Alligator mississippiensis: one gene and its partners. The protein of the gene in region 4 interacts with the protein of the main gene of each other region in a pairwise test. Links are inferred from orthologs where the notes say so. Each region holds a gene or a part of one and is shown on either strand. Other genes may lie near its edges. The genes, in order: PLXNB3, PLXNB2, PLXNB1 and ARHGEF11.

Region 1 (7,173 bases), on a different chromosome or scaffold from region 4:
AAGGCCCACTGGTGGTCAGGTGACATCACAATGGAGACAGTGTGACTGGTTGTTGGAGTGCGAGTTTAGGGAAGGAAACATCACAAGTGAGGTAGGTGTGTTTGGCTGGTTCTGCAATGAGATAGGCCATGTGGGCAGGGCTCCTGGATGTGGGTGGGGTTTGGATGGGCAAGGAGATCACAACCAATGGGGTGGGGCTCGGCCCAAAGGATTAGGTCATAGCCACTATGGGCAGGGCACACCACTGTGCATGACATCACTGCCTGGGTGGGCCAGATCTGAGTCACAAAATGATGTCATGGTTTGAAAGGGCATGGTCTGGTTAAATGAAGTCACAGAGGGGCATGGCCTGATTTGGATACTGCTATCTTAGTCTCTTCCCATCCTCACCTACGATTTCATAGTCCTGGTAATACTTCACTGGATAACATCAGATGCAGAAAGGATGAGGTGGGGGATGGGAGGGTGGGTGTCCAGATGCATCACAGCAGGCTGTGGCTCATTCATTCGCAGGCTACCTTGGTAGGGCTCGGCCCTGAAGAGGGGGCGGGGCCTGGGATGGGCAGAGCCTCTCATGAGGAGACTTAAATGGGGAAACATACCACAGCACTCCAAAGCAATCTCCAGGCAGGCTGAATCACAGCCCGTGGGCTCCAGGGGCAACTGCAGGCCCCACCTCCCCCAGCTGATGGTCCTGCCCTTGCCCAGCAGGGTTCACTTCTGCAGCATAGGGCCAGGGAGCAGAGAGCCCTGAGTTCACAGAAGAGGCAGGCCAGGGTGCAGAGAGCACAGCCATCTGAGCGAGGAGAGGGGAGGTTAGCTACACCCCAGCCAGGGACCCAGGTGTCCAGGCTCCTGGCAGCCACCCTTATCATTCCCCATTTAACTCCCCCCCCTCCCATGAAACCCAGGCATCTGGGCCTTCTTTCCTCACCATCACAGCCCAGAGTCAGGGTGGAGCCCAGACACCTGGCTTCTCAGCTCCCCATTTTAACTCTCCAGCCCCTCACTTCCAACCTGCAGCCCCTCCTTATAGCCCAATGGTGCCTTCACTCCTGACCCACAACCCCCCCATACACCATGGTGCCCCTTATACCTGACCCACAGTTCCCCTCACCTCCCCTGCAGTCTCCTGGATGTGGGATACTCTGGCCTTGTAGCTCCTCTGGCTGCAGAGGGTGGTGGTGATGGAACCTATTGTTGGTGGCTGGGGCAGTGGCTGCAGGAGCCTGCCCCGCCCTGCTCCAGCCCCCCAGCTCCCTGGGCAGCTGGTGACCACGGGGCCTGCAATGAGAGGGAGAACCCAGGAGTCTGGGCTGCCAGATTCTGCTGCTTTCGTGCCCGCCCCACTCCCCTCTCAGAACCCAGGTGTCTGGGCTCCCAGCTCCTTCCCCCCCACCCCACAGCTGGAGAGAACCCAGGCATCTGGGTTATACTCAGCTGCCCCCAGCTGCACTCCCAGAGCTGGGTGCATCCAGGACTCACCAGTGCCTGCCTTGACAGTTGGCTCCACCCCTTCTTGCCCCACAGGGGTCTCTGGGCTGCAGCTGGGCATCTGAGGCATGGGCAGGCAGGGGTTAACTCACAGTGCCCCTCACTCCCAGCCTGCAGCCACCCCCATCCCCGCAGTGCCCCTCATTCCTGACCCACAGCTCCCCACATAGCCCTGTGGTGCCCCTCCCTCCGCCCCCCTGTCCATACTCCATAGTGCCCCTCACTCCCAGCTCACAGCTCCCCCTTCCATATTCCATTATACCCCTCACTCCCAACCTGCAGCTCCCCCCCCATACTCCATAGTGCCCCTTACTCCTGACCTGCAGCCTCCCATGGCATCACCCCACAGATAAAACAGACCTCTGAGAACTTGGAGACCTGGGTTCCCTGGGAGGTGAGGGGGGGGGGGGGTCAGAGCCGGGAGCCAGGACACCTTGGAAGACTGGAGTAACTTGCTCCTAGGGCTGCAACGGATGTGGGAAGTGACTGCATGTGTCTGCTCCCTATCCCAGATTAAACTGGCCCTGCTTCAGCCCCACCCCCCCTCCCAAAGAACTCAGGCATCTGAGTTCCCACCCCCCAGCCACTGCTCTTGTCCCAGAGAACCCAGGCTACCATCCCTCCATCCCTGGGTGTTACCTTCCTGTCCCTCTTTTTCCCAGCCCAGCAGGGGGGACAGGTTTATGGCCTTGTTATTTCCTCTTGGAACACAGGAGTTCAGGGGCTGCAGGGCAGGAGGAGGGGCTCCAAGCCCAGCAGCCCTCCCCCCGCCACCCCCATTTCCCCAGCCTGGCTACAGCTGCTCCCCCCCCACACACACACACAACCCAGGCATCCAGGCCATAGACACATAGAGAACCCAGGTATCCTGGACACCCACACACACAGGGAGCCCAGGCATTTGGGACATACAGATAGAGGACCAAGGTGTCCCAGACACAACACTTTGCTCCCCCTCCTCACTTGCCACTCAACACACACGTGGAACCCAGGCATCCAGGACACAGGCACAGAGAATGCAAGTTCTGGAATGCACACAGGGAACCTGGGCATCCAGAGCATATGCACATGCACACACATACATGCACACACACACACAAAGGAAACCCAGGGACAGACAGACACATGCAAACAGACAGGGGGACCCAGGTGTCCAGTTCCCCCTCCACCAGTGAAGCTGACCCTTGGGTCCATCTGTCTGGCTCCTTCCAAACCACTCCATGGTCTGGGGCCCCCCTGGGGCAGTTCACAGCCCTGCTGTTCCTGCTCTCCCCTAGCATGACTCGGCTGCCTGGGGCCACACCCCAGAGCTGGGTGCACAAGTTGGCCCTGGTGCCCCTTGCTCCCAAACTACAGACCTGACCATAGCTCCATGGTGCCCCTCCTGACCTGCAGCCCCTGGCACTGGCCCCACCCGTGGCCATGACCCTGGGTACCAGCTGTCCCAGGCTCCCTCCCTACAGTCCACCCAGAGTTCCCAGTGCCAACACTGACTGCTGTAGTGGTAGCCACAGGTGAGAGCCCAGGGGGGTCAGGAATGAGGGGGTACCGTGGGGCTGTGGGGCAGGCTGTGGGTCAGGTGTGAATGGGGGGCAGGGGTAGTGGAGGGGGCGCTGGAAGCCCAGACACCTGGGTTATCTGGCAGGGGTGGGAGCTGGATTTCAGAGCAGGGGGGTGTGGGAGCCTGGATGCCTGAGTTCTCTGCAGTCAGGCTTGAGGGGGGTGGGGAGGGGTTTCAATGCTCGGGGTAACAGGTTCAGGCCCAGAAACATGCAGGCACCACAAAAGGGCCGTCAGGATGGCTCAAAGTGTGACAGATGGATGGACAGGGGGTGGGGGGTGGAGCTTGGCTCCACAGTGCTCCTCACTCCCCACCCACAGCCCCTAGCCACCCACTGAACCCATGGGGGGCTGCGGTTTGGGAGTGAGGGGCACCACAGGTTGGGGGTGGAGGCTGTGGGTCAGGAGTGAAAGCAGAGCAGTTTTTAGTGCCGATGGGGTTAATGCTGCCCCCAGAGAATTCAGGCATCCGGGTGCCCGGGACAAAGCACCTTTGATGCAGCCCCCAAGGGCCCTCCCTTCCCCCCCCAAAACGTGGGGGCGGCTGGAGGGGGGAGGGGCTGGTGGCTCCAGCTGGGGCTGTGGGTCAGGAGTGAGGGGCACTGTAATAACACCCCCATCTCCCCACAATGTCCCTCAGTGCTGACCAGCAGCCCTGACATGACCTGCAGTTCCCCTCATTCCTGACTTGCAGCCCCTCCAGTCCTATGGTGCCCCTTGCTCCTGACCTGCAGCTTCCCCCCCCCCATTTCCGGGGTCCTCCTCGTGCCAGCATCCCATAATGGGTCCTTGAGCCGGGTGTCGCTGAGGGAACAGAGGGGCATTGATGGGGCAGGGTGGGGAAAAGACAGGGCCCCATTCACAGGGATGTCCCTCCCCCGCCCTCAGCCAGACGCCTGGGTTCCCTCCTCGCAGTGGGGAGCACCCGGCTCTGGCCTGGGTTCTCTGGGAGGGGAATAGGGGTTGGGGGGGGGTGAGAGCAGGTGGGGCTGGCATCAGGGACGGCTGGGTTCTCTAGAGACTCAGAGCAGGCTGGGCTGAATGCCCAGATGCCTGGGTTCCCTCCCCACCTCAGGGCTTCCCCTCACCAGGTGAGTGGTGTCCGGTGGCTTAGAACAAGGACCCAGATCTCTGGGTTCTCTAGCTTGGGAAGGCTGGGGGGCAGGGTCTGGAGGCAGCCTGGACACCTGGGTTCTCTTGGAAAAGAGGAGGGGCTAGAGCATGGAGAGCTGGGAGCCTGGACACTTGAGTTCTTTGCCTGGTGCCTTTGTCTGTCAGGCAACCCCTCCTTGGGGTAAGGGAAGTGGGGGAGGGGCAGGCGTGTCAGGGCTCCTGGGGCACCTGAGCCCTTGTGGAGGGTGGAGTAGGGGGCAGGGCTTCCTCTCACCAGGCAACCTCCTCAGCACCTGGCAGCCACAGGTGAGGACACCCCTCCCTTCCCCTCCCAGGGCACGGGATCCTGGGCACCTGGGTTCTCTAGGAGTGGGGAGTGGGGGACAGGTAGCCTGGATGTCTGTGTCCCCTCCTTGCCTGACGGCCCCATCTGGTGTTTGTCTGTGCTGGATTTCAGGGGGAGGGAAGGGGGTGTGGATTAGCAACAGCATTTCCACAGCCCGGACGTCTGGGTTCCCTGGGAGAGGAGTTGATCCTGGTAGGTGATAGCAAGCCAGGGCTGGGAGCCTAGATGCCTGGTTTCTTTTGGGGTGATAGGTTTTGAGGGGCCACCTGGATGACTGGATTCTCTTTGGGGGTGATGGGTTACGGGGGAGCTGTCTGGACGCCTGGGTTCTCCATGGGGTAATGAATCCCAAGATACGCGCTCAGATGCCTGGGTGTTCTGTAGGGGGTGATGGGTCCTGGGCAAGCTGTCCAGACACCTGGGTTCACTGGATGGGGATGGTAGGCAATGGCAGAGACTCCCAGAGACCTGGGTTCTCTGGTGGTCAAGTCCAGTCTGCCGGGTTATGGGGCAGCTGTTTGGACACCTGAGTCATCTGGTGATGGTCCTGGGGGAGCTGCCTGGGCACTTGGGTTCCCCACTCCAGCCTTTAATCCTTTCCTCTTCCCCCACAGGTCTTGGCCATGACCTTCCCATGGCCTGTTCTGCCCCTGCTGCTTCTGCTGCTGCCCCCCCTTCCGGGGGAACCCTTCCCACTCCCCACTTTTGCTCCCCCAAATGCTTCCTTCCAGCACCTGCTGGTGGCCTCCACGGGTGACGTGTATGTGGGTGCCACCAATGCCATCCACCGCCTGGGCCCTGGCCTGGCCCCACTGGCCACAGCCACCACAGAGAATCCCCCCAATCTCCCCAACCCCAACCGCCTGCTTCTTGAGACCCCCAGTGGGCGCCTGCTGACTTGTGGGCAACGTCACCACGGCCTGTGCCAGGCCCGGGCCTTGGCCGACCCTCAGCATGTCCTCGCCACTCCTCCAGACCCTGGCGAGGGACATTTCATTGCTGCCCCAGATGCTGGGGTCCCCACCGTGGCTGTGGCTCATGGAACCTTCCTCTGGGTGGCTCGGGGGAGTTCCGGGACCCGCCTTGTGCCTCCCCTCACTGTCCGGCACCTCGAGGGCCCCCATGCTTTCTCTGGTGAGGGGCTGGGGCGCCTCGTGGTGGGAGACCCTGGGGATTATGGGCTGCACTACATCCTGGCCGCACCAACTGGCACCCATGCCTACTTCCTTCTTACCCGTCGTGGGGGCCCCAGCGAACCTGAGCCTCGGACCTATGCTGCCCGGGCCTGCCTGGCAGACCCCCAGCTCTACTCCTATGTAGAGGTGCCCCTGGACTGCCAGGCTGGGGCCTATCCTGTGGCCCGAGCGGGTGCCTTGAGGTCTGGCCAGCACGGAGCACTATTCGTGGTGGCAGATGCAGGGGCTGGGCTACTCTCAGCCCTATGCGTCTTCCCACTGGAGGTGCTGGAGACCGAGGCCGAGGCCACACGCCAGGCCTGCTACAGCCACGGTGGGGGGGTAGGCATTGACCCTCCCCGTGCCGCCATCGCCTATGGGGTCACATCTCACTGCACCCATCTGCCCCAGGTGAGCAGTGGGGGGAGGAGCGGGTTCCACCTTAGAGCTATCTACATCCCCATCACCTCTAACCCCTGGCCCCCCATTTCCCCCCAGGAGTCATCAGAGCTGTACCCATGTGGGGATGAGCACACGCCCTCCCCAATTGTCAGCCTGGTGCCCATCCAGGCCCCGGCCCTAGTCACAGAGCTGCCACAGCTCACAGCTGTCGTGGCCACAGAAGAGGCTGGGAACACCATCATCTTCCTTGGAGATGCCTTTGGGCAGCTGCACAAGGTAGGGTCTGGGGCAGCATTAAACTCAGCCAGTCCCCAGCTGATCCACTCCAGAGTTGGGCACATCTCAGCCCTATTCCTGCCTTGTTATGCTCAGCCATTCCCCAGCAGGTCTGCCTCAGAGCTGGGCATGTCTAAAGCTTCCCTGTGCCTTGCTATACTTGGCTGTTCCTTGGCTGTCGCACCACAGAGCTGGGCTCATCTCGGCCTGTTATACTCAGCTGTTCCCCAGCCACCCCACCCCAGACCTGCAAGCATGTCAACCCTCTTCTTGCCTTATTATATTCAGCTGTTTCCCATTGACACCAGAGCTGGGTACATTTTGGTTTTCCTTGAGTGGCATTATACTGGGCTGTTGCCCACTGCCCCCACCCCAGAGTTGACTGCATCTTGGCCTCCCCATGGGGTATTATATCTTGGCTTGTTATGCTCAGCTGTTTCTCCACTGCCCCAGCCCAGAGTTGGGTGCATCTTGGCCTTTCTTTCATGGTGTTATATGTAGCTGTTACTAGCTGCCCCCACCCCAGAGTTGAGTGCCCCTCAGCCATCCCCATGCAGTGTTACACACAGCCATTTCCCAGTTGCCCCACCCCAGAACTGGCCACATCTCAGCCCTCCCTGAACTGTGTTATACTCAGCCATTCCCCCTTGCTGTTCTACCCCAGAGCTGGTTGCATCTCAGCTTTCCCCAGGCAGTGTTATACCTGGCCATTTTTCAACTGCGACACCTGAGAACTGGCTGCATCTTAGCCTTTGTTGTGCCCTGTTATGCTCAGCCATTCCCCAGTTGCCCTACCTGGAGTTTGGC
Region 2 (7,385 bases), on a different chromosome or scaffold from region 4:
AAAAACATATTAAGTGGTTAGAATTATTTCAGCCAGACACAAAACCTGTGCCTGCCCCTTTAAAAAAAACCAACTTGAAGTTTCAACAGAATAGATGTCAAAGGTAAGATCCAGTAGAAGTTGAACCATTTCCTTATTTAACATCTTTCTGAGCTAGTCGTTGCTCCGACTTTCTAGAAAATAAGAAGCACTGCTTACCTGCTAACTCCCAGTATGCTTTTATTAATTTAAAACAAAGAGCTATTCATTTCTGTGTCCCAACTTCTTGAAATATGTAAATTGATCCAAAATAGCAAGCAAGTAGTAGCATTTACACTCTCACTGTAGAAAAAACCCACAGCATACACTGCAGCAACATGCACATACTGCCTACTAACATGAACCACTATTTATTAGGAAAACTGGTTGGAACAAGTCTACATTATGGTGCTTGAGAGTTCTTAGTACAGTTATGTTGCTTTTGTCAGGTCTTACAGGGAGGACATATCTGTTTGTTCTGAATATGTTATCAGAAGTACCTAAAGATTTGCATGAATTCTTTTTTACTACACAGTAAGACACCAGCGACAGTATGTGAACCTGAAGCAGCTTACTTACAGACTGACTGGCATCACAAAAGATAGCTATGTAGAAAGCTCCAGCTTTTAGAACTACCCATCCAAACTTCAGCAAGCAATGCTCTCCCTTCAGTTTTACATGCCTTCCATCTGCTTTTCTAAAAAAACACCATACTAATCTGTACTTCATACCAAATCAAATTAAGATGCCACACAGCCCTTCAGAGCCCTCAACACCAAAAAGGGAAGAGTTCAAGGCAAGCCAGCAAAGGACTAGATTTCCTCGGTCAGCTTAGTTTGGGCTTGTGGTTGCAGCCATGCTCTCTGCTGTCGGTTCCATTCTCGTGGGCAGGCACTCTGGATATTTACAAGAATCTGGCTCACTCACAATCCCGAAGGCACGCAAAGCAAAGGAATGGCTCCACATGCATATGTAATCACGCTCAAATCCTTGCCTCTCAAGTATATAATCACACTCGGCACTGCAAGTACATTGGTAATGAGTTACCCAAGCTACTTTAGCCAGACCCTGGTGCGCAACTCTCATCCCAGAGAACTGATGAGAGATTTCCATCCTGGGAACAGAAAGGAAGAGACCCCTCAGGTCAACTTTGATTTTGACAACCTTAGCATTTCCTCAAACTCTGGCTTTGACAACATAGCATTTCATCAAGATTTGGGAGCAGGGTTCGAATTACACTAACTTGGGGGGGGGGGGGCAGGCAGAAAAAGCCTCGCAGGTGTGGGGCAGGCCAGGGGCTCTTGCCTCTTATGGGGGAGTTTATGGAGGGCTCATCTCTTATGAGAGGCTCAGCCCCCCCTGTATTTTGAATGCTTCTTGGGAGGAGCTGGCTGCTGACAGACTCCAGTGGCACCACAACTTCAACCAATTGGCTGCCTGCTCGGAGGTAAAGTGTCTCACCCTTGAAACAGAGAAGTGCGTGGAGGAAGGAAAAGGAGAGAAGTCCTGGCCTATGGCCTCCCCTCCCCTGTGGAAAGACCTGCAACTCCTGTGGACAGGTCTGTGGTTCAAGGATTGGACTCCTTAGTCACCTCAAGACCCATCAGCGAGCCGGGGTAGAGATCATCCTGGAAGAGGTGATTTCCTCAAAGGAATTGTGACAAGCACCCAAAGAGAAGCAGCACTGGTTAGTAACCTATGTTACCATGTAGGGAGTGACCACTGTCACCACATTCTCTACCTTGCTCTAAACATGATGCACTAGGATAAATGGGTAACGTTTCTCTGGAATGCGTTACCTGTTAGATGATGGAGGCAACTGGGAACAGATTTACAAAACAAGCAGAAAGGGGAACCATCCGCTCAAAGGCAACATTTTGAGTTTCAAAAGCAAAAAAAACCAAAACAAAACAAAGCAACCAGGCAAAACAAGGTTCTTATTTACACCTAGTAACACCAGAGCAACAGGGCCGGGTAGTTCACAAGGGAGGAGCAGTAATTGCCACCAGATTTCAAAGCTGAAATAAACTCACAGCTCTTCTGGGGGAGGAGGGGTGGGGGGTTAAGGAATATTTGCTCCCAACTATTAACCTAGAAAGTACTTGAATGATCCTTTCTGTCACTGCCTGCCCTGGAAGCCGACCCTGCTGCCAGCGGGCTCGCACGAGGGGAAAGGGCACAGTCACTGCCATGCCCGGCCAGGCCCAGGGGGTGGGCGCTTCCAGAGCAAATACTTCTGTGAGTCACAACCAACACGCAGCCTCCCGGGCTCGCGGCTTCCAGTGAACGCGAGTAACCCACAGGAGCTGCAGCAGAGCAGAGCAGAGAGCTCCACACAAACTTTCCAGCTGCCTTTCCCAGAAGAGCCGCGCTCAGCCCGGAGCTCCCCCCGCCAGGGGTGAAGCAGGCGGGTTTCCATCAGCCCGGGCCGGCTACGGGGCACGGCGCACCTCCCTGGGCACAGCTCCTCCGTGCCGGCTGCCCCCGGAGGGAAAGCTTCAGGCTTTCCCAGCGCCGCCCGGAATCGAGCCCACTCAGACCCCCGGGGAAACGCAGCCGGGGGGGGACCCCTGCCCCGGGGCCCGCAGCCGCAGCTCCACCTGTTGAAGGCAACGGGGATAATCCGCTGGGGGCGGCGGGGGGAGAAGCACAAACTTACCCAAGTTGGAGCCGCGCGGGCTGCGACAGCTCCGCGCTCAGCCCCGCCGCGCCCAGCGCCCCCGCCTGCCCATGGTGCGGGGCGGCGCCGCCGGCGGAGCGGAGCGGCCGGGCCGGGTCGGGTCGGGTCGGAGCGCGGGAGGCTGCAGCGGGCGCGGACGCGAAGGGAAGCGAGGGGAAGGGAGAAGCCGCCGAGGACCGCTCAGGTGCGGGGCGGGCAGCGGGGAGCCCCGCGGAGGCGCCGCGAGGAGGAGACACACCTGTAGGCGCTGCACATATCCGCCGCCAGCACAATGCGAGACAGGAAGCTGAAAAAACCAGCCCAGGGAGGGAGTGGGAGCGGGAGGCTCCGGCTCGTCCCTCCCTCTCTCCTCCGCCTCCTCCTCTCCCCACCCCCTGCCCGGCTCGGCCTCGGCTCACGCGGGCTCCTTGGGGAAAGCGGGCGGCGCGGCGCGGAGGGGAGGGGAGAGCATCACCGCGCGCTCCGCCTCCCGCGCCCCGCCCGAGCCCGGCGCTCCCGGGGCGGCGCCCGGGGCCTGGGGCCGCGCCAGCCCAGAGGTGCTGCGGGGATCAGGGGGCGCCTCTCCCCCGCCCCGGCCGGGCAGGAGGCGGCGCGGTTCCCACGCCCGGGGCCGGCCGGTCGCTCCTGCCCTTGCGAAGCCGCGCCTCGGGCAGCTCCCGCCCCTGCCCGGGCCGGACCTGGCGGCTCCGTGTGACCGCGCAACCTCCGCGCGCCGCCGGCGGGAGTGAAGGAGGGAGGCGGGGAAGGGCGAGTCGGCCGCCGCGCGCGGCACCGTGGGCCGCCCGGGCCGGGCAGAGCGGGTGGGGCGGGCTGCGGCCCCCACGGGTGGAAGCGAGCGCCCTGGGGCCCCGGGGCCGGCCCGCGCCCAGCGCCGGGGAGGGAGGGAGGCTGGAGCCGTGGCCGGGTCTGCCCCTCTCGTGCCGGCTGGGCGGAAGGGGCAGAGCTCAGCAGGGGGCTCCTCGCTGCTCGATTCACGGAGGGTGTTTCCAGGACCGGAGCGAGGACATGAGCCAGGGCCTCTGCTTCCCACGAGACTGGCTCGCCCCTCTCTGGCAGGGAATTTCGCCCCTTATGCGGGACCGGCGCGGCTGCCGCCTCCCAAAACCAGCGGGGCTCCCGGCAAGGCATTTAAAAGGCGCGTGTCTGATTTCTTCATCAATCACGCCGGGATCAGCGCTGTTGGGGGAATGAATGAATTAGCCACTTAGTGAAGTCCCTTGAAAGCGAGCAGGACTACATAAAAGCCGAGTATTTCCTGCAAGTAAACACCCCTTCCCTCCTCAGGAGCGCCTCGGCTGGGCTCGGCTGAGGGGGTGGGGCTGGCAGAAGAGCCAGACATCAAAGGTCGCTACTTGTTGCTTCAGAGCTGCGCCCCCCCCCCCCCCCCCCCCCCCCCGGAAAAATCGTATTCCGAGCACACTCCCTGCAAGAGAAACAAGCCGGTGAGAGGATGATTGGCAGTTTCCGAGGATAAAGGGATCTGAACTATCATTGCACGCTTAAACGTGCACAAACAGCGGGCTGATTGATGCGCGAGGCATTACACTGACACCGTCTTGCGTAGGGACGGAGATAATTTGATTGCATGTGAATAGGACTTATAATCGGGATTTGAATTTCCTATGTTTTTCTCCTCCCGATCCCACTTCCCTCCTCACTTTGCTATCTCTTAGTCGTTATGCATGTCTTTGTGTCTTCTCACCTCCCTATTGTCCTCTCTTACACTCCTGTACAATGTTTCTGCCTGTCTCTGTCTCCTGCTTCCTTTCTCAGGGCTGTCAACTCCTGGAATTTTATCTAAAGCTTGTCAATATCGACTGTCTTTTTTAAACCCCTCAGCCCTGGAGGCATATGATTATACCAGAATTGCAGCTTTCATTATTACAAAAATAGATTTATAGCCCCACCATTTGGGAGCTGAGCATGAAAAATGTAAATCCTAAGGGTTAAAAAAAGCCACAAATAAACTCTACATTTGTTATTTAAAGAAACCTCATGATCTGAAAGATAATCATGATTTCTTGGAGCCTGATTTTGTTTTTCAATTTTGGAGTTTGGCCTTTTTCTTTTTGCCTTGTCTCCCATTGTAACAACAGTGGAATTAATATGATTAATTTTCTGTTGCATTTAGCAAAACTTTGGATACCCTACTATTCAAATAGCAATTCTGACTTGATGGCAACCCCACTGCAGAAATGAGTCTAAAGAGAAAACCAACAGTGATAGAAATACGAGGAGTTCCCTTTTTCAGATGAGACATCAAAAGGTTCATATGAGTGTTTGTCATCCTGTTTTAATTTTATAAACTGTTTTTTTTTCACTTCCCCTGTTGCAAGAGGGAGGTCTAATTTCCCTGATGCTGATGGGGCACTACATTCCATTTCCACCTGGATGTGGCTGTATTTCAGTGGTGAGTGTAGTGATCCATATACACATATTAATATTTTCATAGTCCATAAATCACCTTCGGGTCTACTTCTGGATGAAGAATGCTAGATAAATATAAGGTATTATTATTAGATTTGTGAAATGTCGCCACACACATATTTAGACTCCTGCCCTTTGTACTGAACCCATATGGCAGGGCAATTTGGGTAGATTTGTTTCTCTGTTTTGTGGCTGACAGATTGCCCACCCTCCACCATGCCAGGAAAAAAACTAAGACCAACTATCCTAAGGTAAAATAGTCTGCAGACTGTAGTATGCCATTCTTTAGTTCTTTCTATGGAGCTAGAAATTTCATAGACACTGGGGCTGGAAAGGACCTGGCAAGATCATAAAGTCCAGCCCACTGCCCAAGGGGCAGACAGTCAGCTAGGGTCAAATGAACAAGATAATCACCCAAACGCTTCTTGAACATGTCCAGAGTAGATGCTTGCACCACTTCTGAGGGGAGTCTATTCCAGACTCCAGAAACTCGGATAGTAAAGAAGTTTTTCCTTAGGTCCAGTCTAAAACTGTTTTCCAGCAGTTTGTGACTGTTGGACCTTGTCTTCCCTTGGGGTGCCTTGGAGAGCAGATGTTCTCGCAGACCCTGATGCACACCCCTGATATAATTGTAGGCTGCCACCAAGTCCCTCCTGAGCCTATGCTTTTCCAAGCTGAAGAGTCCCATGCCTCCCAGCCTCTCCCCATAAGGCCTGCTCTCTTGACCTCTGATCATGTGTGTGGCTCTCCTCTGGACTCTCAAGGTTCTCCACATCCTTTCTAAAGTGTGGAGCCCAGAACTGGATGCAGTACTCCTATGATGTGGGTTCTTTCTCTTGAGGTGGAGCACCTTGCATTTCTCTGTGTTGAAAGTCATCAGGTTTTGATTGATCCACCCACTTTGCGAGCCTGTCCAAGTCAGCCTGAATCCTCAGCCTATACTCTAGTGACCACGCTTCCCCATAATTTGGTGTCATCTGCAAACTTAGCCAGTCTGGTTCTGACACCCGAATCCGAGATGCCACTGGTCACCATGAGCCACGTTGATTCGGTTCCATCGACGATCACTCTCTGGGTCTGACCATGGAGCCAGTTCCCCAGCCATCGGACTGTAAAGTTGTCAAGGCAGCAGTTCCCCAATTTTGCCATGAGGACAACACGGGAGACCAAATCAAAAGCTTTTTTGAAATCCAAGTAAATGACATCAGCCTCTCCCCCCCTGTCCAGGTGGTGTTTCACTTGGTCATAGAAGGCAATGAGGTTGGTCAGGCATGACCTACCTGTAACAAAGCCATGTTGGCTGTCTCTCAGGCTGATGCCTTCTGTTAACCTATAGTTGATGGATTCTTTAATATTTTTTGCCACGATCTTTCCAGGGATTGAGGTCAAACTGATTGGCCTGTAGTTCTCTGAATCGTCCTTCCTTCCTTTCTTGAAGATAGGCACCACATTGGTCCTCTTACAATCTTCAGGAACCTCTCTTGAGCACCAAAAGTTCTGAAATATCCACACCATTGGTCACACTATGATGTCAGCCAACTCTTTTAGCACTCTAGGGTGCATTTAATCAGGGTCCAGTGATTTATGGATGTCCAGCCTCTAAAGATGTTCTCTCACAAGGCCTTTGCCAAATGTAGGTGTGTGGTCACCCGTATCCTAGTAATCCTGTGTCCTGTCAGGCATGGTGATCCCCTTGGGCTGGTGAAAAACCAATGTGAAGTATTCATTAAGGAGATTAGCATTTTTCTGGATGTTGGATGTCAGCTGCCCCATTTGGTTCAGCAGGGGTCCAATGTTGCCCTTATTTCTGTTTAGACTTCCCATATATCTGAAGAAGGACTTTTTATTGTCCTTGATTCCTGTACCCAGTTTGAGCTTGGTTTCGGCCTTGGCTTTTGTGGTCCACTCCCTACAGGTGCGGGCCAGTGATGCATAGTCCTCCTTAGAGCTATTTCCTATCTTCCTACCTTTATAGGCTTCTCTTTTAAGATTCAGGAGGTCCATGAGTTCCCTATTGAGCCAAGGGGGTCTCCCAGCCCTTTTACTATCTTTCCTATGGGCCAGAATGGACTTTCCTTGTGCTTTTAGGATCACATCCTCAAGAAGCAGCCACACAGCTTGGACTCCCTTCCCTGTCAGATCATGATCCTTCAGGGCCTTGGCAACCACCCTCCTGAGCTCATAAAAGTCATCATTGCTGACTGATTTACCAGCTTTGTGATGGGTAAAGTGATCAAATCATGATCACTAGGATTGTGTG
Region 3 (7,740 bases), on a different chromosome or scaffold from region 4:
GTTAGAATGGCTCTGATTAGATAAACTGTATTTGCAGTGAGCTCCATATGTAATAGAGTCTGGCTCTGTGCAGCGTTTTTGGTGGGAATGCATGTAGAAATTGGATGCCTTTGTCTGTGAGAGGTGGGGAAGAAAAGGGAGGGGAGAAGGTACCAAGTGATCTACCTCCTTTTAAGTGTTTTGCTGAGCTCTGGCTATGTGATCCTGAGTGGCCCTTCAGAACCAGCAGAGCTCCAGGAGGCATGACCCAGACCCTACATGCTCATCCTACAGGTGGCACTGAAATACCCTGTGAACCAAGGAACTGCCACTAAACTGTGGGACCATTCATTTGGCTTAAAGTTTTGAACTGCCACTCTTGCCCTCAGGTTGCTGAGACTGTTGGGAAGGGAGGAGCAAAGAGAGTATAATGAACAGGGAAGGGAGTAGATGCTTGGCACTTCAATAAATGGGACTTCCACCAACTGTAGCCTCTGAAATGTCAGAAATGTGTGTGGGAGGCTTGACTCAAACTTGCAAAATGGCATCATGAATTTATGAGAGCAGTGCACTAGCTCAGTGGCTCTCAACCTTTCCAGACTCAAGGTGCCCCTCTTTAGACTCAGGGCACCCTTCTATACTTTTTGTGATCTGAGCAGCAACCCATTTCAAACACTAATTTACATCTCACATTGTTTACCTCTTGCAGAGGGGCCAGCCAGTGAGAACAGGATTGCAGCCCAGCAGGGAGGAAACTGAGCCTGCTGCCCTTATCTGCCTATCTTTGCATACCTTATGATCTCTGCACACACTAGGGTATCCTAGCACCTTGGCTGAGAATCACTGCACCAGGTGCACATCAGGCCAAATGGAAAGGCCACTCAGTTGGCACCTTTTGTAACAGGCTAATTCTGTACCTTGCAGAATCCACTCCAGTGCTTGTTTGCTTTTCCTAAAATCCCAGCTCAGCCCAGCCTCCTCCCTGCTGTTTTTAATGGCTGCTGAAGGGAGAAGCCAAATTACTTGCAGAACTGTTATTCAGTTCATTCTTTCTGTTAAGGAATATCTCTTTGTTCTATTTGTGCAGCACTTAATATATCAGACCCTGTCCCATTGCATTGGGCCCTGAAACCAAGCATCAATTTACATTTGCTACACCTAGCCTAGGTGTCCCCATTTATACAGCTCTGCTGCCCCCGTCCCGGTTCAAACTTAATGTGCAACAAGATGAATTCCTAGACATGGCCAAGCCTTTAACTAACTTATAGAGTACTTTTATTCTTTTTTTATTCTGCAAATCAAAACTGTGTTACATCTGGGACACCTGATGTGGCTGTACTTGTCAAATCATTTGACATCAGCTTAGGGTTTTGCCCACTAACTGACTGATCAATGACACCCTTTATCCTACTTTTTAATTAGGTCTACTCACAAACGATGTCAGACAACAAAGCGATTCTAAACTGTCAATTACAGAGGAGAGAAGCCATGTGATATTCTCCAGAGGGGATGTCTAAGTCTAAATCTCAAGACAGAGCTGAGATCACTACCATCAGGGCTCTGGAATATCAATTTGCCCTCCAAACAAGTTGGCAAGTTTGAGTTTTCATTTCAGAGGCGCTATCCCAGCTCTCTGATACAATTGGTTTCTTTGTGAAAGCCGTCACAAAACTGCCCAGCAGCAGCAGCAGCTTGGTTACTTGTCAAACCCAGAGTTTTCCATTTCCTTGCAGCGTTGTGAGCTACTTGTCTCTGAGATGTTTGAATTGACATCCCGCTGTGCTAAGGGACAGAGAATACTACAAACCCTGAAATATTCTGCACTTGATATGGCAAATCTCCCCTGCTCCTGTGGGAGTTCAAATGCTCTGGCTGAGCAGCCCAGTGAAGATGCTGGGAACATATTTTCACTTGCTTGTCTCCATATCTTAAACAGTGGCCTCTTCCCGAGCTGTCGTGGGAGTTTGTGAAGGGAAAGGAGTTATCCCACTGACGAACAGCCAGTCCATTAAGGGCTCGGAATGCTGAGGCTCGTCCCGGCTTCTGTATTTAGGGAGCCAGCACAAAGAGAAGCTTAAGGAATACATTCACAGAGCCCTAAACTGCTGTTCTCTGGACCTGGCAGAGATTTTACAGGACATAAATCTCTACCTAGGGTCATTCATCGCATCTAACAAACCCTAAAGGTTGCAGGTGCTCAGGTCACTGGTTGGAAGCCCTGGAAGCAGTCCTCTGGCCGGCGGCACCTGAAAGAGATGTATTTGCCTTTGGACACCACTAACACAGATCAGATGGCCTCACAGCTGTGACTTGCATAAGACATGGGACTGGACAGTACCTCTTGGGTCACCGAGTCCAGCCTTCTGCTATCCCTGACAACCGCGTCCATCATATAGTCCCATTCATGAACCCATCCAGCTCTTTTTAAAAAAAAAGTTACGTTTTTGCCTCCAGCTCTAATTGAGAGGCACTTCAAGAATATTACTGCTGCGATGGTTACGCACCTCCTAATTTCCAGTCTCAGTTTATTCATGGCTATATCGTACTAGTCTTTCAGTTAGACATACTGTTCTGAAGGCAAGTGCCCTTCTAGGTAAGAGTTGAGGCTAATTTCCTTTTCCATCCAGTTATGTCTAAATGTTGTAGATTATCTTTTCATAAAATTTCTAAGACATGGTTTTTACTGTCCCGCCACCAATTGCACTGGTCCCTTTGCCCTGTTGGAGTGGACTCTCTTGCAAGCTTCTTATCCATGAATTGCTGGAGAACTGTCCAGTAAATGCCTGGGGTAAACAGCTAACACTTTCATTCAGGTTCTCATCGGTCCTTTTTTTTTTTTTTGTTGGCCTTGACAAATGCAACCTTGCCCTGCCAGTATCATTCACAACACTGCTGCAAAGATAATTTCTGGTTAGATTGCATCTCCCTTGGATTTCTCTTTTCACTCCTGGGAGAGAATTCTTATCTGTAGGGACAAATCTGTCACAAGAGCTGGCCCAAGACCAGAGGAAACAAGAAGAACCATCGCTCTCAGAACTACATGCAAACCCAGTATAACTTTCCTACAATATCAAATGCATCAGTATCTTTGCCATGGATACCTTTTAGTCTAAAAAGTCCCTACACTAACTTGAAGCATGCTCCTGTCAGAAGAGCTGGAAGTCAAGTTCTGTGTTCACTTTTTTGTGGCAAGCCCACAGGTGACGTGGTGAGGGAAAAGATTTATCAAAATCTAGACCAGCAGTTCTCAACCTTTGACTCAAGGTAAGCCACCCCCCCACCTTAGACTCAAGGTACCCCTCAGAAAGTGCCAGATCTTAGTTTTAACTCTTTTTTCTTTTTGGCTATGGAAGAAGAGAGTATTTTTTATGTTGCAAAGAACTCAGAAAGACCACAAGTCCAGACAGCTCTAACGCTATGGATTCCTATTTGAAATCTCTGGGTCTATCTTGCAAATCATGTTTGGACACCTAGAAGTGCTAACACCGTGCGACACCCTACAGAACCCTTGAAAGGATCTCGAGGCAACCGCGGGTGTGCTGGCATCCTGGCTGAGAACCACGGATCTAGACAGACAGACTACTGTGAGGACTGATGTCCCTGGGGCGCTGGCCGCTGCAGCTGTACGACCCCATGCCACACTGGAACAGACTCCTCCTCCCAACAGCCCCAGCCGTAGATTTCCACCCCATAAAACGGTGCGTGAACCAGGCAGGAATTACCTGAGACCCGACGCGGCCCCACCACAGGTTTGCCGTTCCCTTTCCTTCTCAGGGAGAGGCAGGCTGTCAGACGCGCACGGCCGGCAGCTGCGGTTCGGCTGAGGTCGTCATGCAGAAACAGCCATCTCGAGGGTGGATGGACGCGGGTGCTTGTTTCACGTCTCACAACTCCAGGACCGCGTGGCAGCGGCACGTGGGTGAAGCAAACGTCCCGTGACCTTGGTTCTGCGCTGGTCGCCCTGCCGCCACCTCGCCTCCGGCCACGCCGAGACTCTCTAGGAGCCAGCTGTCTTGCCGAGCAACAATGAAAGCAATGCCGTTATTAGGGACTAGGAAATCAAACTCGCATTAGGGGACCTAGGGACATGTCGCTCTGCAGAGGCAGAACTTGCCGTCTTCTGCACGAGGCTACTGAGCGCCCGCGAGCCCTTGTTTCCGCGTGCGGGGCCAGATGGCACCCCAGGCAGCACAGACGTGTCCTTGGGGCGGACACCGACAGCTCCGAGCAACAGAAGCGCTGTTGGGATGCCCCTGGTGTCTGCACAGCGCCGCGCACACCTCCCTTCAGCCGCGCGCGAGCGAGCCTGCGACATGCGCCACCTCGCATCGCGAACGGTCTGCGGCGGCGGCCGGGCCCGGGTCGGGCAGAGCGGCCTGCGCGGGGCTGGGGCTCCTGCAGCCCGCGCTGCCCTTCCTGGGGTCGCGCGGGCCGGAGCGGCAAGGCTGCCGGCGCGAGGGAGCTGCCCGGCGCTGAGGCGCGGACTCCCGGGCGCGGGCCGTTCGCAGAGCGGGGCCTCCCGGGACCGCGCCCCGCCCGCCGCCGGGGGGGGGGGGGGGCCGGCTCCGCCGCGATACCACATGTCGCGACACGACGACGCGGGGCGGGGCGGGGCGGCCGCCTCGGGCTCGGCTCAGCACGTGCCCGCCGCCCCGGCAGCCAATCAGCAGCCGGCCCCGCCCAGCCTCCGCGTCTACAGCCAATCAGCAGCTGCCCCTGCCGCGTCCTGGCTGAAGGGCGTGGCTGCAGGCACGGGGGCGGAGGGGGGCGGGGCCGGCCCGACCCGACCCGGCGCGGCAGCAGGCGCAGGTAGGAGGTGTCGGGCTGCGGCCCCGGCCCCGTTCCCGGCCCGGCCCCGGTAGGGGCGTTCGGCGGAGCGGGCTCGGTTGGCGCGGGCGCGGGCGCAGGTGCGGGCGGAGCAGCGCAGCGCAGCGCGGCGCGGCTTTGTTCCCGTGCCCCGGGCTGGTGGCAGGAGCGGGCCGGGGCCGCGGGCCGGGGCCGGTCGCGGCGCGTTGGGAGGTCGCCGCGCTCCGAGTCGCGGCGGAGCCTGCGGGCCCCAGGACCGGGCCCTGCCCCCGGGACGCGCAGGCCGGGGCGGCGGCGGCAGCGAGCAGGGCGCTGCGGGCCGGGCCGGGCCGGGCGCGGGTGGAAGCGCTGTCCCGCCGCCGGAGCCCGAGCCCTGGGGCGAGCGCGGCAGCACCGAGCGGCGGGGCGGACACGGTCCGAGGTGGCGGGGGGACGATCGTGCCCCGGCAGCGCTGCTCCCCCGCCCGGGATGCAGCCCGCGCCTGCTGCGGCCCCGCCCCGCCCCGCCCCGCCCCGCCCCGCCCGGCTTACCGGGGCGCTGCTGTGCGCCCCGCCCGCATGCGTGCGCACATGGGCAGCGCCCCTGCCGCTTGGCCCGCGCAGCCCGCCACGGGAACCGGCTCCACCGAGCTGGCGGCGGCAGCAGGCTCGGCCCAGGCGCGGGCTGCCCCAGCTGACCGTGGAGAGCGCCGCCTGCCAGCCCCGCGGCCCCCGACACGGCTCCGGTTGAGAGCCCCCTCCAGCCCTTCCTAGCTGGTGGCAGATACTCTGCTTGCATGGGGTTGTGCACCTCCTTTCACAGCATCGGTGCAGCGCGCTTCAGCACTGGAAGCTTGTGCTGTGTATCGGTGTTGGTGGGTGCATAGCCCAGGCATGTGTCTTGCATATGAAAGAGACCTGGTTTGGTTAGTCTCTGCGGTGCAAACCTACCCTGCTTTCTGGTGACAAGCATCCAGCATGATGCGAAGGTGGGAGAGACCCCCTTGGCATGTTGTGAAAACATTTAACTAACGTGGCAAAATACAAAGAGAGAACTTGCTTGTTGATATGCCAGTACGAGGACTGTGGCTACTGAAGAAGAAGAAACTGTCATCAGGTTAAGCCCAGCTGGAGGATGTACCGAAGTGGAATATAAAATCACTAGTCGCAGCCTGTTTGGGAAAGAGCGAGAAAAGGGAGGAGGGCCGAGAGGGCGGGAGGATTGGGACCGGCACCGAGGAGCGCGTTAGCTACGTTAGTCAGTGGTGACTCGGACCCGTCGGGTGCCAGAGCCGTGCATCGTTTCCCCGTTGAGCAAAGTACAGAGCTGTGGTATCGATGTGGGTGTGAAAGAGGCTTCCGAGTCCAGCCAGGCAGGGCAAGTTGCACCTCATCGGAGAAGGTGGATAGAAACACAGTTGTTGTGCATGGTGGATGTCTGCTAGTGTTTGTGACGTTTGTGTGTAGCTGACCATCGCTGGAGTTTGTACAGGGTTACAGATGGGCTCTCACTCAACAGGAAGACCTTCCTTGGCATTTGTGTTTGCATGTGTGAGAGCTCAAACTGACTTTTGACTTACAAACTTGGTCTCCTATATCACAAATGAAAATTATTGAGTGGTGTTAGCATTTTTGCTTTGTGGGCTGTTGCAAATTCCTGGGTGCCTGCATTTAAGCAAATACTATCTAGATGACTTTATAACAAGTATCGCACCCAACAAGAGGTAACTATTTGAGAAGTTGTTAGAATTGATAAAGATGAGGCCATTACTGGGTCAGCAGTTGGTTTCCTAGAGAACAATGATTGTGACATCATGATTGGGAATTTAAAGAAGAGCTTTAGAAGACCAAAAGCACTTTTTGGCTGTGGAATCGTGGACTGTCCAAAATCCCCTCTGGATCTTGTGTGGGGTGGCAGTGACGTGTGAGAATTGGTGAGCAGTAGAAAAAGATAAATCAATACAATATTCAAGATACAGAGCATAGAAGATTGATAGGGAAGTAGAAGAGCTCAGGGGGAGGGGGGATTCTATGTCTGACAGAAGAAATAAGTTTTGACCTGTATTAGGAGCAAAAGTAGAGGGTAAATGGTTAAGAGGAAAGCACCTCCTTTGGAGAGAACATTCCTATCAAAAACAGGACTCGGTCTTGCAGTTTATAGGAATTTAAAGCTGAGCCATCCTATAATAACATGGACGTCTCGTTGCCTAATTTGTATGCATTGGAATCCTCCAAATTAACAGACTTGGTTGTGTATTCCGTGGGTCTATGTTCCGATTTTCCTGTGGATGGGCTGTGCTTTAAGAGGAGGTTTTCCCCACCATGAATAGGGGAAAATGTAGATGTGCACATCTGGTCTGTGCTAAAAACTGAAAAGCAAGGGCTTTCCGGGGTTGAAAGCACTGGATGTGGCATTTTCTATGGTTGACTTTCTATAATTGCTAACACTTCCCAGGGAATTTTCTCTCAAATTTTGATATTAAAACTAGCTATCTCAGTCAGTGCCTTTGTGCTCTTGTATTTGCTCTTTGTGACACTCTGCCTAAGCAACAAGGAATGTGTTATCCTAATAAGATAAGTTTTGGGGTTTGCAGAAAGGCATTAATTTAAAAAAAAAAAAAAGAATCCCTACCTTACAGTGGAATTAATAACCCAAGGGAGTCTACAGTCCTTTTTCATTCTGACTGTTTTTTGCTGCAAACTGTAGAGAAGGTGCTTTTCTGACAAATGTTGTATCTGTGATTTGCCCAGTGGAGGTGAAGGAGGATTGAGAGAGGCTTTTCCCTCAGTACAGTGATCTTCCCACCAGGGCTGGGAGACTGAATGCTCATATCCTGTTCTTGAGTTCTCATCTTTCACCACAAACACATTCCTCTCATTCAGGAGTGCTTTGGTGCCTCCTGGGCAGGTGCTCTTGTGTTCCATTCCTGCAATTTGAGATCTTCCTCAAACTGTAAACTTGTGCAAAACTTGTGA
Region 4 (6,843 bases):
GGGAAGCGAAACAGAAGCACAAGGAGGGACCCGAGTGGGGGCAGAACCCAAGTGTCCTGACTCCCGGTTGGTGCCGGAGCAGGCTGCTGCCAGTCTCACGCCTCTCCCTGTCTCTCCGCAGGCTTTGGCTCCATCCCTTCACCCTGCTTCTTTGGCTCCTACTGCAGCCCAGGGGTGCAGGATGAGTTCCCCCACCTGGCTGCCTTCCCGCCCCCCAGGCTCACCCCTAACGGCAGCCGCCAGCTCTGCTCGCCCAGCCACTGCCCTGTGCCCAGCCCGCCCGAGTGGCCACGCTTCTCTGGCCACATCTTCCCCCACGGCCAGGCGGTGCTGCCCCTGCCAGAGCACGCCCAGCCCCATGGTCCCTTGGGGTTCCCCAAATCAGATGCCCTCTTGTTGGGGGTCAGCTTCCTGCCCCCTCGGCTGCAGGGGCAAGCCTTCCCTGGGCACCCACTGGGCACCGTGCAGGGGGCTGCAGAGAGGCTGCAGTTCCTGCTGGACGTGTCCCCACCTGAAGAGGAGGAGAGGGAGGATGAGGAAGGCCAGCACCGGGCTCCTTCTGCAGAGCACAGCCAGGAGGTGAAGCCTGAGGTGGAGCTGGAGCTGGAGGGCACGGCTCTGGGCAAAGACACAATCTTCCTGGGCCCTGGAGGGGAGGGTGATAGTCCGTGTTACCCCTCCGAGCTGAGAGCCTCTGCCGGAGCTGCCCCCCGCCTCCCCTGCCTGTCTGGCTTTAAGGCCGCCTGGCCCTTGGACCCCACCTAAAAGCAACTCCCCGGTGCCGTGTCCCCCTGCCATTTTGCCCCTTCCTCCTGCCTGGCGATGCCCGAGCCTAGCCCCATGCCGCATCTGCCTGTGAAGCGTGCACAGCTTGTCTCGTCTCATCCTGCCCCGTCTGTGTAAAGGATGAACCGGGCCATGAGAATAAACCCAGTTTACAGACAACCGTCTCTCTGGCTCTGACCCTGACCCATTTCCTTGTCACGGGGGGTGGGACAGGACTGTACCCGGTGCTTTTTGTCCAAATCACCTGCACATACTGTCTTTGAGCAGAACGCTAGGAGATGCTTCTTCTGGCATCGAGGGGATAGATCATTCTAGAGATCTCTGGTTTGATGCTGTCTGCTACAGGAGCCAGGAGAGCGACCGAAAGGTACCATTGCTCTGACGCAGTATAGCTCTGCTCATGTTTTTATGTTCCCCTATTTACTGGTGGATGCTCTGCCTGTGTCGTCCAGCTGCCTAACGGGCTAGCACTTGCCTAGCTGCAATGCTGAAGGGTCCAGGTCAGGAGCTGCACCCTGGAGCACCGGGCACTGTACAGACACGGCTGTGACCCTGTGTTACAGGGAATCCCTTTCTTCTCGTGGAGGGTCTGAGCGCTAGCGGCCTCCTCTGTTTCATTGTCCAGGATCCAATTCTTGAAGCGGGTGGTGGTACCTGCAAGCGAGGCATAATGCGGAGGTCCCAGGCCAAGTGCTAGATCCTGACTTAACGAAGCTGAGCGAATTAATTGTCTGTGGCACGGGTGCCCCCTCATGGCCACCTCTGGTTTTAGCAGATGTTTCCCATGGCTCATGGTTCTGGTGGTGGATCAGATACACACCCTCTTTCCCGCACCCCGCTAGTAACCTCAGGGGTAGGGGCTGCACAGGATGAACCGAGCAGGATGCGGCCCATGTAAGCCAGGGTGAGGTGGGCTGCAGGGCACGGATGCTTGCACTTGGGGAGCTCGGCTGGGCCTGCTCAAGAGGCTGAGAGAGTCTCCTTCAGGCTGTGACCCCAGAGGGCTGGAATCGGGGCTGGAAGGGACCTCGAGGGGTCATCTAGTCTGACCTCCTGCCTGAGGTAGGATCTGTGTTCGAAACGTGTTTTTCTGTTTTAGCTAAAATGTGTTCGGTGTGATTTAGCACCTGGTGTAGACACAGGCAGGTCACATATGAACACATCTTCTGTACTTGTGGTTTATCTGCCCCTGCCCAAAAACATGGTTTTTAAATCTAGCTGTCCTTGTTCCCAGCCCAAGCAGAACCGCATTTATTTATCGGTTGGTTAATAGGGTGTTTCGGATGCAATGTATTTTCCACAGTTCAGAGGGTCTGTGATGCCTCTCATACCCAGAGAGGTGGTGGCATCTCCATCCTCGGAGGTTTTTATGGCCCGGCTCAACAAAGGCTTGGCTGGGATGTGATATAGTTGGGGCTGGTCCTGCTTTGGACTAGATGTGACCTCCCAAGGTCCCTTCCAACCCTCATTTTCTGTGATTTTTTGATTCATTCAGAGAGTAGCTGAAGCCGTGGGGATGAGAAGTGGGGGGGGTGGACCACAAAGGCCCAGGCTGTTGTGCCTGCAAGAGGAGGGATCTGCTTTGCCTGAGACATCAGGCCAGTGTCTGAGAGCAGTGACGGGTTCAGATGGTGGATGAGGTGGTGAGAGCCGGCCACCCTTGCACTGGGGAAGAGATAAATGTCCAGCTCCCCTGCTGATCTCCAGGCCTCAGGGCCTCGAGACACCGCTTGCCACAGTTAAGCACTCTTTTCTTCCATGCAGTCACAGTCCCAACCCAAGCACTGACAGAAGGGCAGTGCCCAGAGGGTGCTGGACCTCCCAGCCAGATCTGCCAGGCTGCAAGGCAGGGCCAGGCCACTCCGTATACCCCTGCCATGATGCATAGGTCTTGTACCCCGCCCCCCGGGCACATGCAACTCCCCCTCTCCTCCTGGTTCATGCTAGTGCCTTTGTTCCAGGTGGGTTTCTCCATTGCTGCAGTGACTATCTCCAGCTGTGGGCCCAGGACAGGCGAGCAGCTCGAGATGGCTTCCTGTGCGTACTGGGTTGTACCCCATTAATTCCTGGGGTCAAGCAGCACAGCTCAGCGCTGGCACTAAGATTGCTGCACAGAGCCGGCTCCAGGGCTCGCTGCTAGCTGGCACGCAGGCTGCAAACAGAAAAGTGAAGCAGGCCATGCCAGGAGGGACTTGCAAAGCGAGTGCCACCCTTGCCCACATGCCTGGGAAGGACGAGCCGTGCCACGGGGCCCTGAGGAAGAGGCTCTTTGGGAGTAAAACCTTTTTGGTGTTTGTTGAAGCGATACAAAAGCCTGGCAGGCCTGGTCCCCGGCCAGCAAAAAATGTTAACGGGTTCATGCTGCCCAAGTGAGGCCGTGCTCAGGCAGGGGCTGGGAAGGGGTCCCTAGGGTGCTAAGGTGTTGCATGGTGCAGCTGAGGGTCTCCAAGCCTATTAATTAAGGGGTTCAACCCAATGGAGTGTGGACTGGGTGCCAGACGTGGGGGCTTGCTTGGGTCAGGCCTGAGAAGCAACAACCCTCCTGCCGGCTGGAGCAGGTGAGTATTGTCCCCCACTGTGCCAGGCGCCTGGAGGGAGATGTGAGCAGAGCAGGGCAAAGGGGAGGCGCGACCTCCTCCCTGCCCCGCCAGCTAACCCCCGCAGCAAAAGCGGGGCTCAGCTAAGGTGGGGGTCACCTCCTACGTGGGGCTGGAGCCGAAATACAGCCACGGGGTTAGGGGGGGACAGAGCAGCCCTGCTGCTGCAGGCTCCAGCCGCTGGAGGGACCCCTCGCAGCTGATTGCAAAGCAATTACCCCCCCCAGCAGTTAAAAAAAAAGAAAATAGTAAAAAATAATAATACTAATAATAATACGCCAGGACACAGCCACACCCCAGGGCAAGGCTGCAGGGTGAAGCCCCCCGGGGGTGCCCTCCGCGGGCATGGCCCCGGAGCGAGCGGCTCGGCGGGCGCGGGGCTGGGCGGGGCGCGGCGCGGCGCGGCGGGGGGCGCCCCGGGGCCACGTGGGGGGCAGCGCGGGGCGGGGCCGCATTAGGCCGCTCGGGCTCGGGCTCCCCGGGCGCCGGGCCGGCGGCTTCCCCGAGCCCTCCTGCTGCCGGGCGGCGGCGGCCCCGTTTCCCGGGGCTCCTGCACATTTGGATGCACCCCCTCTCCCCCCCTTTCTTTCTTGTGTTGTTTTTGCAAGGGGACTTGGCTGCTTTCTCCTTGTTCTTGGCAAATTGGTTTTTTCTGGCAATATCATTTTGATTGCTGGCTGGGTTTTTTTGGTCTTCCCTCCCCCTTCCCTGCGCTGCATTTGTTTTGGAAGCCAGCGGGAGAGGAGGGGGAGGGAGAAAGGGCACGATGTGGAGGAGCAAACTCGAGATGGACTTGCTGCTTCCCGGCTCCTTTTTGTCGGAAGGAAATTGATTTTTTTTTTCCGCCCTCCTCCCTTTTCTTGTATTATTATTATTATTATTATTATTATTGGGGGGGGGCGGAAGAAAGCCAAGAACCGCCTCTGTGCATGCGTGTGCAGGTTCCCCTCCCGGGAGGGGGGATGTGAGCCCCCCCCCACCCCGCCCTTCCCGTCTCCCCCCTCCCCGATCCAGCCGGGAATTTCGGGATCCGCGAGGACCGGGCGGAGGAATCATGAGCGTGAGGCCTCCACAGGCTGCGCTGGACAGGTACGGGGCGGCTGGGGGGTGCCGCGGGTCGTCTTTGCCCCCCCGCCCCGGGGGATGGTTTTGGGGACGCGCGGGGGTCGGGGGGTGCACAAGCGTCGGGGTCCGGGCGCGGCCCCGGATGCCCGGCGTGCGTCTCTCTCAGGCTGCGTCTGCCGTGCGCTGGGCTGTGTTTTGAATCCTTTTTTTGCTTGCAGCCTGCCATCCTGTTCCTTGTCTGGGTCACCTTTCCCTTCCCGTCATTCGACTTCCTCTGTTCCTGTCTCTGCAGACTGCAGTGGGCTGCGACCGGGCCTAGTTTAGAAGTTAGTCCGGGGCTGGTACCCAGGGCCTGCTCGGACCCCGGCCGCCTCGTTTGCATGACATCCTGGTGTCGCTGGGCTATACGGCCCTGCCTTGTCCCCCCCTCGTTTACCCCAGCACGCTCCCCCCTGGAAGGGCAGATGCCTTCCCTGCACCCTGAATGGAGCCGGCAGTCCTCGGGCCGCTTCCCCTGGTCCTGTGGAGGAATCTCGGTGCAGATGGGTGCTCCCTGGCCGGGGTCTCTGGGGCTTTGTGGCAGGCCTCTTGCAATCTGCTTGGGGATGTGGCAGCACGCAGGGTATCGGCATTGAGGGACCCCCTCCCCACTCCAACCTAGCTCAAAACAGAGGTGCCGTGCAGAAAACACTCCACTTATTCTTCTCCGCCAAGTGTTTATTCTCCTCTCTCACATCCTTTGGTGTGAAAAGACACAGGATAGAAAGCAGCTATCTGAATGTGTTTTGTGTGCTCGGGTTGACTTATTCTTATTGCCCGCGTGCTTTCTCTGTTGTTCAGCTCTGCTCGGCGGATTTGATCGTCGACTTGCTTTGGGATTTCTAAATTCTACCACGCGGGAGCTGATTCGGGGCGTTTAGCAAAAAAATCGAGGCTGGGGAGAGATGGTCATGTCTGAGCGCACTGTGTGCTCTTCGGTGGCCTGGTCCATCCACGGCCTGGGTCTGCAAACACTTTCCAGCGGGGGTTATGCTCCCCATTGCAGTGGTCCCATTCAGTAGAAGTGTGGGGCTGCTGGAGATAGTTGCACCTCCGTGTGAAGCAACCTCTGGGATGGAGGATGTCAACAGACCAGCACATGTCCACAGAGGAATGAGAGGTGAGAAGCAAACCCCTTTGGGGGAGTGCTGGGGGGGAGGTCTTTCTTGCAAAGCAGAGAAGGTTTTTGCTTGTGCCTACCAGGGCTTGAAGCTGTGTTTCGGTGCAGGGGGAATGTGCCCCTTTTAAGACCAATTGCTTGGTCTTGAAAGGGGCAGATTCCCCCTGCACCATCCCTTTTGGCACGATTATTAAGAGGTAGCCCAGGCTGTCTGGGTGAGGCACACTGCAGCATGGGTGTCTGAAGACTGCCTCTGGCAGCGACTGGCTGTGGGATGTGGCTGTGTTTTTTCATTGATGAGTCTTCGCTGTTAAAAACAGTAATGATCTTCCACTTCCAGTCTGAGCTACATCAAACCCAGCCACTCCTTTCCCAAGTAAATACAAAATTTGATTAGACAGATGCGGGGCCTGGCCAGCTGGGGACTGGAGATTGTATTTACAGCCTAACAGATTTCTTTCTTCCTTGGTCTCCTTGCCATGTTTCTAAAGGCAGCTGAGCATAGCTACCAGCTGCTGAGCCCCTCCAGGGAGGTGCTAGGGTGGGCAAGTCATAGGAGGTGATGGGGTGCGCTCAGCAGAAACACCTGGCCTGCCTATGTTGGCAGGCTTGTGCCTCAACCCATTATCTGGGCATGGAGATCATTCGTGGTGATGAGCCCGAGTTGTCTGATTTTGGAGAATTTAAGTTGTTTTGGTTTCTAGCCCTCATGGCTGCGCAGTCAACCTTCCTCCTAGGATGTGCAAGTCTGCAGGCCGCTCTGGTGCCTTGGCTGATGCTCAGTTTTTTCCAAGTGGCTACGTGCGCAGAGCAGATCTTCAGAGCCCCTTTGGTGAAACCAGCCAGCAGCCGTTTGGCTTCTTGCTTGTGTTGGAGCTGGAGGTGTCGGAGATGCCCGCAGGGTAGGAGGGTGAGGCCCCAAAGTAGAGGTAGCCACAGGAATCCCCCACTGGAGCCCAGAAGTGGAGAGAGAAGGCTTCCTCGGTAAATCCTTGCCTCCTGGTAAGAGAGCAGAAAGCCCAGGTGCTCAGCGCAGCAGGGGTCTCTGCTGCAAACCACCCTTCCTTCCTCCATCGGCAGCCTGTGACGGAAGGCAATGAAGCTCCTCGTCCTGCCACCAGCCAGAAGCTTGTGAGAGAAGGTCTGTGGGCAGCAGCCAGCTGGGACTCCAAACCTCCTTCCTGGCACTGCGAGGAGCAGGGGGCAACAATATTTTCACTCCTGGGCAAAGGAGAC

What was found.
Region 1: the proteins of ARHGEF11 (region 4) and PLXNB3 interact in a two-hybrid assay, tested with the Homo sapiens proteins (2 studies listed by BioGRID and IntAct). The link is inferred for Alligator mississippiensis from reciprocal best matches to the Homo sapiens genes ARHGEF11 and PLXNB3.
Region 2: the proteins of ARHGEF11 (region 4) and PLXNB2 interact in a two-hybrid assay, tested with the Homo sapiens proteins (2 studies listed by BioGRID). The link is inferred for Alligator mississippiensis from reciprocal best matches to the Homo sapiens genes ARHGEF11 and PLXNB2.
Region 3: the proteins of ARHGEF11 (region 4) and PLXNB1 interact in a two-hybrid assay, tested with the Homo sapiens proteins (2 studies listed by BioGRID). The link is inferred for Alligator mississippiensis from reciprocal best matches to the Homo sapiens genes ARHGEF11 and PLXNB1.

Annotation. Positions count from the first base shown.
Region 1 is NC_081831.1:28,575,909-28,583,081, forward strand, and holds the start of PLXNB3 (plexin-B3), read left to right. Parts: upstream 1-4,169; 5' UTR 4,170-4,275; coding exon 4,276-4,473; intron 4,474-4,498; exon of another isoform or gene 4,499-4,705; intron 4,706-5,127; coding exon 5,128-6,099; intron 6,100-6,186; coding exon 6,187-6,366; intron 6,367-7,173. UniProt on the Homo sapiens protein: Receptor for SEMA5A that plays a role in axon guidance, invasive growth and cell migration. Stimulates neurite outgrowth and mediates Ca(2+)/Mg(2+)-dependent cell aggregation.
Region 2 is NC_081827.1:40,570,397-40,577,781, forward strand, and holds the start of PLXNB2 (plexin-B2), read right to left. Parts: upstream 3,016-7,385; 5' UTR 2,937-3,015; intron 2,765-2,936; exon of another isoform or gene 2,678-2,764; intron 1-2,677.
Region 3 is NC_081835.1:218,385-226,124, forward strand, and holds the start of PLXNB1 (plexin-B1), read left to right. Parts: upstream 1-4,736; 5' UTR 4,737-4,788; intron 4,789-7,740. UniProt on the Homo sapiens protein: Receptor for SEMA4D. Plays a role in GABAergic synapse development. Mediates SEMA4A- and SEMA4D-dependent inhibitory synapse development. Plays a role in RHOA activation and subsequent changes of the actin cytoskeleton.
Region 4 is NC_081838.1:16,528,212-16,535,054, forward strand, and holds the start of ARHGEF11 (rho guanine nucleotide exchange factor 11), read left to right. Parts: upstream 1-3,828; 5' UTR 3,829-4,437; coding exon 4,438-4,472; intron 4,473-6,843. Other genes in the region: ETV3L (ETS translocation variant 3-like protein), read left to right, coding at 122-765. UniProt on the Homo sapiens protein: May play a role in the regulation of RhoA GTPase by guanine nucleotide-binding alpha-12 (GNA12) and alpha-13 (GNA13). Acts as guanine nucleotide exchange factor (GEF) for RhoA GTPase and may act as GTPase-activating protein (GAP) for GNA12 and GNA13.